Linked DNA regions of Xenopus tropicalis. The main gene of each other region encodes a partner of the protein of the gene in region 2 in a complex. Links are inferred from orthologs where the notes say so. Each region holds a gene or a part of one and is shown on either strand. Other genes may lie near its edges.

Region 1 (3,818 bases), on a different chromosome or scaffold from region 2:
GGTTTATTATTGTTTTCTTAGATTTTGAGATATAAATGTTTTATTAGTGTGCTTCCTCAAAGTCTTTTCCTGCTGCAAACAATGTAGCAATGCAGCATGTTAGAATGTGTTACAGCAGGTGAAACCTGTCAGCAATACACAGCATGAGTGTGTTGGTTACAGCTGAAAAGAGATCGAGGAACTCACAGGTAAATTGTTAAATATATAAACAATTGTAAGAAAAATAATAAAGACTATTTGGGAAACAGATTTATTAACCACCTGCTACATTTTAATGGACTTTTTATGATAGTGACAGTTCCCCTTTAAGAAAACTTTAAAACACACTTAGAAACTGTGGCCCCAACAGCATTCAGAGGCTGAAGGCTGCAGTTCAACAACAGATGGTTAAAAGACACATCTGATACAGATAAAACATTATCTAACGATTACTATACTAAGTAATTATAAGTCATTTCTACCTTTACCAAGGAATAGCTGGCAAGAGAAACTGCCATATTTGTCCCAGTCTAGAACCAGCCCAGGGAACCCCCATGTAGTATTTGTTATTTTATCTCTAAGTGAGCTATAAGTATGTCCCTGCCACAGATATGTCAGCAGCCCATACACTGTAAGAGCAGAAAGGCATTATGTTATAAAACCCATAGTGAGACTTAATAGGGCTTTTTATTGTGTTCATTATTTGTGTTGCATTTTGTTTATTGCACAAAGCACAAGATACATCCAATTTCTTCCCAAAATATTCCTGATCTTCTTTTGCTGTCCCGTCTGAGGGGCGAGGCACATTGATTAAGGGGAGGAAACTCCAGTGATTATTAAGCAAAAGGCCATGAAAAATAGTGTGAGTGGTGATGTGCACAAGTGCAAGTGAATGAATGCAACCAACTGGACCAGAGTGTGACATATTGAAAGCACTACATCACTACATGGTTTATGTACAATGGTTTGGGCACTGTAAAGGAAACAGCTGTCGAGTACAAAACATCTGACACTTTTGGCTCTTTTGCATCTGACAGCTGTTTAATGCTGCTTTTGGACTAGAAATGCCTTTAAAATGATTAAAATGAACAAAAATCTTCCATGCTTATTTCAGTTCTTTTTACATAGGAAGAATGATTTGCACAATAAGTTGGATTTTGCAAAAAGGCTGGCCTGTGATTCTTAGTGCAATATGGCACACCCTGGTGTGAGATGCTGTTTAATTTCTTGCTTTTGGTATTGTTTGTTTAGGGACCCAACTCTCTGGGTTCTATAATTAATACATGACACAGGTTATTGCAAGGGGCAAGAGCTGAACTATAAGCAGAAATGAAATGCAAAGAGTGATAAGTCTCTATCTTAACCTGTATGGGGAAAGGGACATTGAAGGCTTATACTCCACTATCCCCAGTCCCAAAATTTTGGTCTGCTTGTACCCTTGAGAGAAAGAGGATTTGAGGGTGAGTAGGCAGCGTTCAGCATCTTAAGAGCAGCCACATCGGTCAACAACCATACCTGGAATTTTGCCATAAATTATCTGTTGCTTGTCATTAAAGTACAGCATGTTAATGGGGGACATTTTGGTAGGGGTACAGCATGGCCCAGCAGAACCCCTTGGGTTGGCTTGTTGCACAAGGTGAGTGTGCGGATACTTCTGCATGAACATGTATTCACACTGGCCAGAACAGTAGTTGGCTTTGTAGCGTTTGGGGGCAATAATCCAGTCCCAGCCAAAGGCTTCGAAGTCTACAGTAAGTGGGTAGCGACAGCAGCGGGATTCCGTGGAATGTTCGTCACAATCAAGCCCCAAGTTCCTCCGTGATCTTTTATTGTTTTCCATAACACGTAGCTCCATAAAGGGGTGCTGGATAGAAAAGAGGCACAAAATTAAAGAAGAACAAGGACATGCAACTTTTTATTTGTAGATGAATATACTAATATAATTAGGAACATAAAGGGTTCTTCAACGCAAAAACAGTAATGGTATAGAATACACTTCCTGGTGGGCTCATCATGCTGTCTAGTCTGTCAGTGTCTTTCTAGATAGGCAACTCTACATAGCTAAAATGACTCGATAAATTAAAAAGTATGAAAAGAGCCAAAAAGGATGTTTTTTTGGCAAGGGCCAAGTCATACATTGAAAAGTTAACCTTGACAGACAAATCTCTCAAGAAAATGACCCTGTCCCTGAACTAACCCTTCAACTATGATAGCAGCAAAGTCTAACATTTGTGACACACAATCTATTCTATATGATATACATATTTAGCTGACCTGGATGTAACTGCCATCTACATATTAAGTCACAGTTAAGTCACATAAGTTACATGTATGCATAATATGGCCAGTTAAGTCTTTGGACCCTGATTGTGTCTACATGGCAAATATTTTATTATAGCGTGTATGTAATCATTTCTACATACTGAGTATCCTGGTGCATGCCTTTTGCACACCAGGTAAGAGCACACAAATTATCTGCCTTGACCCAAACATAATAGATGATAATAGATTGTCCACTGCAGCTGTAGAGAAATTTCTTCCATTGTAAAAGTTTTAGAGTGAGCACCTCTTAGGGGCAATTTACGCTAAATGCAAGTAACAAGGGCTCCCAAGATGTGCCTGTAAGTTTTGTTTTGCTCTTCTGCAATCTGAATTTGTTCAGCACTCCACTAAGCTTAAAAAGTAAAGGTTAAAGAAAAAACTAATTGTAAATACTATTCTAAGGACCTATCTGGAGAATGACCATTCACATCAAATCTCATTTTCACAATCATAACGTTTTAGGGAAAGGCAGAGAGTGCATCTCCTTTAGATGAGTCTCCAGCTTCAGAGAAGCCCCTGGAAATGGAATATCCTTGGTAAATTTGATAAATATTGTAATATATATTTGTATTCATATCAGCAATCAAAATACTATTGGTGAAACCTTTTGCAATTAAAGTGCTACTTTAATTGTCTATGTAACTATGCAAGAAGCTCAAAATGCATACTAATTTGTATTTGAAGTGGCATTGTATACAAATAAAAATATTATTACAAAATGTACATTTTTATTAAACCAGTTGTCACAGGTAGCAGTTTGTGGCTCCCATCAAGGGCAGCTAACTATCCACTTAACATGCTAATGAATCAGGGCAAGTGCACAGTTTGGGGAATGTTATATTTTCATTGGGTTTTTTGTGCCAATACACACATCCAGTCATAACAAGCAATGCATCTGTTTTAAAGATTTTGTTTTCAACATCTTACTATAAATAAAGACTTGCATCTTAAAAGATCTAAGCACCCACCAGTCCCTCCGCCCCTGGTCCTAGAGAGGTAACAGCCAGGTCATTTCCATTAGGGTCGAAGGCATTAATCTCAATGCCCCAGTTGTTATGTGGCTGCTTGAACCAGTTCTGCAGTACATGTTTGAAGTCAATACTCTGCCAGTGGCCTGAGCGGGAGTGCAGGTCAATCTTGAGGGAGCGGATACGGATGTGTTTGCTCCCTTCTTCAGTCACAGGCTTAAGACGTAGGATCTGAAGGTACACTGTGGAGGTATGCTGAACAGGCCGCAAATATACCCAGAGTTGTGCTTTTACCACCTTGGTGAACATTATCTTTGGGCTGAAGTTAAAGTAGCAGCAGTGTGGGTTCCCATCTATTCTTACTGCGTGGTCAGCTGAAGATGAAAAAGAAAGAGCTATCAAAGTTACAGAAAAGATTTGCATGGCATCTGCTCATACCCATGCCGAGTTAATAACATCCACAACTAAAAATTGTTCCCTGTGTGTTTCTCCAAATATGAGGTCTGTTAATATGATTCTGCATTCTCTTGATTTCATTCTGACATATTA
Region 2 (4,525 bases):
CCTGCAGGTGGTGCCCCAGCCCCTTTGTACTCGCCCCACAGAGCAGCCTAATGAGCAGCCTGGGCCGGCCTGAGGGGCCCAAACAACTGTCTGCTAATATTAGCACGCCTGTATTTCTGGATCTATTATAGTCCTCCCAGACAGATCCCATTGTAATGGGATCTTTTATTAAAAGATTAGTACTATCTCCTGCAGTTGCTGGAAAAAAATCTGTTATCGCCGAGTTATTTGCAGTCAAAGTCTGTGGCAATACAAATCCAAGCGACCTGCCAGTATCCAGGAATGCAGTCTGCATAGTTCTCTGTCTGTTGTCCTCTGGGCTCTGGAGGCAAAAAGAATAGAAAATGTAGAGGGACAGAGAGAGGGAGAGAGAGAAAAGAGGCAGCTTTTGAATCAACAATACCATTTTCCGTGAAGTAATGGTTCTGTATAAAAGGAAATATCGCCTACTCAGTTTCATTCAGCTGTGCCAAAAATGTTAGAAATGAGTGGCCGCCAACTTGCAGCGGAGGATGCCAGACTGCGCTTAATAAACTGGCCCTATAGAAGTTCATTATCGATGGGGCAATCTCTGGGGCTATGAAAGGAGACCGCCTACGTCGTCCCATTCCTGTCTGATACTCCAGACACTGCCACTTGAAAAGACTGTCACTTGGGGGGGGGCAAATTTAGGTATTAAACTTGTATTTGTCCCTGAAGACTCCCAGAGAGCTGGATGTGGGAGCAGACACTTAACTACTGTTTCAGGTTCTGGGAGTTATATTTTAAAAGGCACTTTAAGAGTTTGAGTGGGAGGTGGGTGGGGGGCAAGTCCTAACCCCCCCTCTTTAGACAGTGCGCCCCGATGTTGCCCGGTCTTTGCTCAGAAGGTGCCCAGGGGGAGCCAGAGTGGGTAGGTCCTGCCCAACAAGGCTGAGTCTGGGAGAGGTCACGTCATTGTCCTGTGCGCACCCAGCAGCACCTATAGCAGCGCTTCCCACTCACATGCCCCACTCCTATAGCAGCGCTTCCCACTCACATGCCCCACTCCTATAGCAGCGCTTCCCACTCACATGCCCCACTCCTATAGCAGCGCTTCCCACTCACATGCCCCACTCCTATAGCAGCGCTTCCCACTCACATGCCCCACTCCTATAGCAGCGCTTCCCACTCACATGCCCCACTCCTATAGCAGCGCTTCCCACTCACATGCCCCACTCCCTGCTGCTGCCTCTGCTGCTGCACAAGTAGCCACACTGCTGCTCCATTTCCCCACCAGCTGCTGGACAAGTTTCACTCTCTCTCTGCTTGGGACTCAGCAAACACTCCTTGCTACATTCTCTCTAGGATCTACCTACCCACTGTTCATTGGAAAAGGTTTCCAGAAGGTGGAAAATGTCACCTGATTCACTCTGAATTTTTCTTTTTACCCCACCCCCAAACACACACACACATTAGGAGACCGCCCACCGCAGACAGCTAAGACCCCCTTATAGATTTAAAGAGAGACTGCATTAGAGGCTGCTGTTCATTCAATAGAGCGATCATAAGCAGAGTCCGGAGTTGTGCCTGGTCCATTATCCCATCTCTCCACTTGAGACTCTGCTGCTTCTCCACTCTCTGCACTGAGGATGTTAAATGAAAGGATCCAGCCGGGCATGATTTTCCTCCTGACTGTCTCTCTGTGCCATTTCATGGAACATCGCGCAGTCCAAGGTAAGAACCTGAAGGACTTGATCACTCTTTTTGGATTTTCTTTCATTTTTTTTGGTATTAGGGCAGACAGTAGGAGAGGCAAGTTAGGCTGGTGACTTAGATCAGACTTCACTTTTACATATCTGCAATATCAAGATGGTAGTTCTGGATTTTAAGGGCTACAGTCAACTTGGCTTCCAGATTTATTAATGTGTATATAAATGTATCGGCAGAGAGTGCTACTTTACTATCAGTGGTTACAGTTATGTAACGAATCTAGTGACTTATTAGGGACTTGCGAGGATGTCGGTATTTGTTTCGTACTACTCTAGTTGTACTCCAGCTGGTGGGACAGAAGTTGTGGTGGCAAGTCATTGGCTGCCAGCCCCCTACTATACGTAGCAGAGGCGCAGTCGGACCCAGCGGTGCGCAGAATTTCTTCCAACTGACGCAATCTGCCTTGTGCTAATTGCTGCCTACTTGCAGTGTTAGTTGGCGCAATTCCAAATGGAACTAGTTGTAGTGAGTTGTTTAGAACTATTGCTGTTCAGCTTATCCTTTCTCTTAACTTTAAAAAAGGGGTAACATAGCGTGGGATTGGGGAGAAAACACGTTTCGAAATGGATTAGTGTTGCATGTAGATGTTCTGAATGTGCCTGGATTGCAACATGAGGTTGGATCGCAGGCTTGACAACTGACGCACTTGATACTGTAATATTTCAATAAAGCAGGGGTTTTATGGGCTCGTTATCTCAACATCTGGATGGGAGGCTGTTCAACAGCGCGGCCAATTAACCCTTTGTGTAGCCTGGGTGGATATCTATAGAGTGGAAGCCCTGAAGGGGTTAACCGTGCAAGTGTGAGCGGTTTGGCTGGGGAGAGACTGCTGTTACTAGTGCAGGTTATGAAAGAGGCCGAATAAAAGTAAACAGTCTAGTGGAAGTGAGCGCAGAGCACACGTGTTGTGTCTGGGTCACTGCTAAGTGACACTGATATGGCTGGGCCGCTGTCTCTTACAGCTGGGAATTGCTGGCTGCAGCAGTCGAAGAACGGCCGATGTCAGGTTCTCTACAGGACTGAGCTGAGCAAGGAGGAATGCTGCAAGACTGGCAGGCTGGGTACCTCATGGACTGAAGAGGATGTACCCAACAGCACCCTCTTCAAATGGATGATATTTCATGGAGGGGCCCCTCACTGCGTCCCCTGCAAAGGTACTTTACTTGACAATTTTTACTACCATCTCCTCGTTTTGAAAATGAAAGGGTTAAATTCCTACATCTCTGTAAGCAAAGAAGTCGAGAGAAGTTTTTTTTTTTTTTAGTACTTTAACATACAGTCTCTACTGACACGTTGTAGGAATACATGATTTAACCATCCCTGTGTATGCTTGATGCGACCTGTGCTTCCATGAAACCATGAAGCTGCCATATGTATTTATATACCCGCATACTTGACATATTTTGAACTGCTTTTGGCATTATTTTTGTATAGGGGGACGCAGCCACACAGTCCATATGTGTGTATGTGTGTATGTGTGTGTGCAAGAATAATCTCACCCAGCTCAGACTTTAGGATACTGTGCTAGCAGATTCTGGCCACCTACACTTGCTTATTATGTGTTATTTTTCACGGAGGGATTTATTAAAGTGAAGGGGACATCTGCACTCAATTTTGAGTTCGCTTTCTGGAGGAACTTTTGTTCTCTCTCCATAGATACTGCATGCTGTTTTAGCTATTAGGCACAGAGGGGAAATACTTTTCTTGTACTAGTAAGTTCCCAGTGTCAGGAGCTTGTATGAATCTGGCATATCTATCTATCATCTATCTATTTATCATCTATATTAGATACCATAACACCCCAGATGATCTTTATGTAATGGCACAGGCACATTAGTCCCTGAAAGTCTAGACATGCTGCTGAGATATGGGGCTATTTATCACATTCCTAGTAATACTATTTCTTGAGTACTTTGCCCACTGGCTAATTAAACCTGTTGCACTTACAGAAACATGTGAGAACGTAGACTGTGGCCCTGGGAAGAAATGTAAAATGAACAAGAAGAACAAGCCGAGGTGTGTCTGCGCTCCGGATTGTTCCAACATTACTTGGAAAGGTTCCGTGTGCGGAATAGATGGCAAAACCTATAAGGATGAGTGCGCTTTGCTCAAAGCCAAATGTAAAGGGGTCCCGGAGCTGGATGTGCAGTACCAAGGAAAATGCAAAAGTAGGTTAAACAAGTGGGGGGAGTTAGGGATCTGTGGGCTGGGAGGGACAGCCACATTAGATTGCTGTGATGTTACCTGAACCTCATGGGTGGGCAGCATGGAAAAGAAAGCTCTCATTGGGTGGCTTTTAGTAGCCTGAGAAGCTTTTTTGGTGCGCATTGGCTTGGGAGTTGCAAAACTTTATGTGATATAATACGGGTCCCATAAAGTACATAGTATATGGAGTAAATAAGAGCAATTTATTATGACCTTACGCTTAGCTGTGCCCCAGTAGTGCTGTAAGTCCATCTGTCATTCATTGCGCCTTTATACTGATCGATGTGCGCCCTTGCGCTTCTTTCTCTTTCAGAAACTTGCAGGGACGTGCTGTGCCCAGGGAGCTCCACTTGTGTGGTGGATCAGACCAATAACGCCTACTGTGTGACATGTAATCGGATTTGCCCGGAGCCTGTCTCCCCTGACCAATATCTGTGTGGGAATGATGGAATAACCTATGCCAGTGCCTGCCACCTGAGGAAGGCTACCTGCCTGCTGGGCAGATCCATTGGATTAGCCTACGAGGGGAAATGCATAAGTAAGTGTGGTGTCTGATTTACCCAGCGACAAATCCATTCTGAGTAGCATT

Evidence for each region.
Region 1: the proteins of fst (region 2) and gdf11.1 are in contact, whole or in part, in a crystal structure (PDB 5JHW), measured with the Homo sapiens proteins. The link is inferred for Xenopus tropicalis from reciprocal best matches to the Homo sapiens genes FST and GDF11. Residues at the interface, in NP_037541.1 of Homo sapiens: Leu34, Arg35, Gln43, Val44, Leu45, Tyr46, Lys47, Thr48, Arg60, Ser62, Asp72, Asn73, Leu75, Phe76, Met79, Ile80, Leu134, Asp135, Arg149, Gln153, Pro154, Glu155, Val180, Val181, Asp182, Gln183, Tyr188, Val190, Thr191, Asn193; in NP_005802.1 of Homo sapiens: Asn299, Leu300, Gly301, Leu302, Glu310, Arg312, Asp328, Trp329, Ile331, Ala332, Lys334, Arg335, Tyr336, Lys337, Tyr347, Met348, Phe349, Met350, Pro354, His357, Gln361, Ile380, Asn381, Leu383, Phe385, Asp387, Lys388, Gln389, Gln390, Ile391.

What each region holds. Positions count from the first base shown.
Region 1 is NC_030678.2:138,141,084-138,144,901, reverse strand, and holds part of gdf11.1 (growth/differentiation factor 11), read right to left. Parts: intron 3,644-3,818; coding exon 3,270-3,643; intron 1,844-3,269; coding exon 1,463-1,843; 3' UTR 1-1,462. UniProt on the Homo sapiens protein: Secreted signal that acts globally to regulate anterior/posterior axial patterning during development. May play critical roles in patterning both mesodermal and neural tissues. It is required for proper vertebral patterning and orofacial development.
Region 2 is NC_030677.2:192,427,915-192,432,439, reverse strand, and holds the start of fst (follistatin), read left to right. Parts: upstream 1-1,520; 5' UTR 1,521-1,610; coding exon 1,611-1,695; intron 1,696-2,693; coding exon 2,694-2,885; intron 2,886-3,680; coding exon 3,681-3,899; intron 3,900-4,249; coding exon 4,250-4,474; intron 4,475-4,525. UniProt on the Homo sapiens protein: Multifunctional regulatory protein whose primary function is to antagonize members of the transforming growth factor beta (TGF-beta) superfamily including activin, myostatin, GDF11 or bone morphogenetic proteins (BMPs).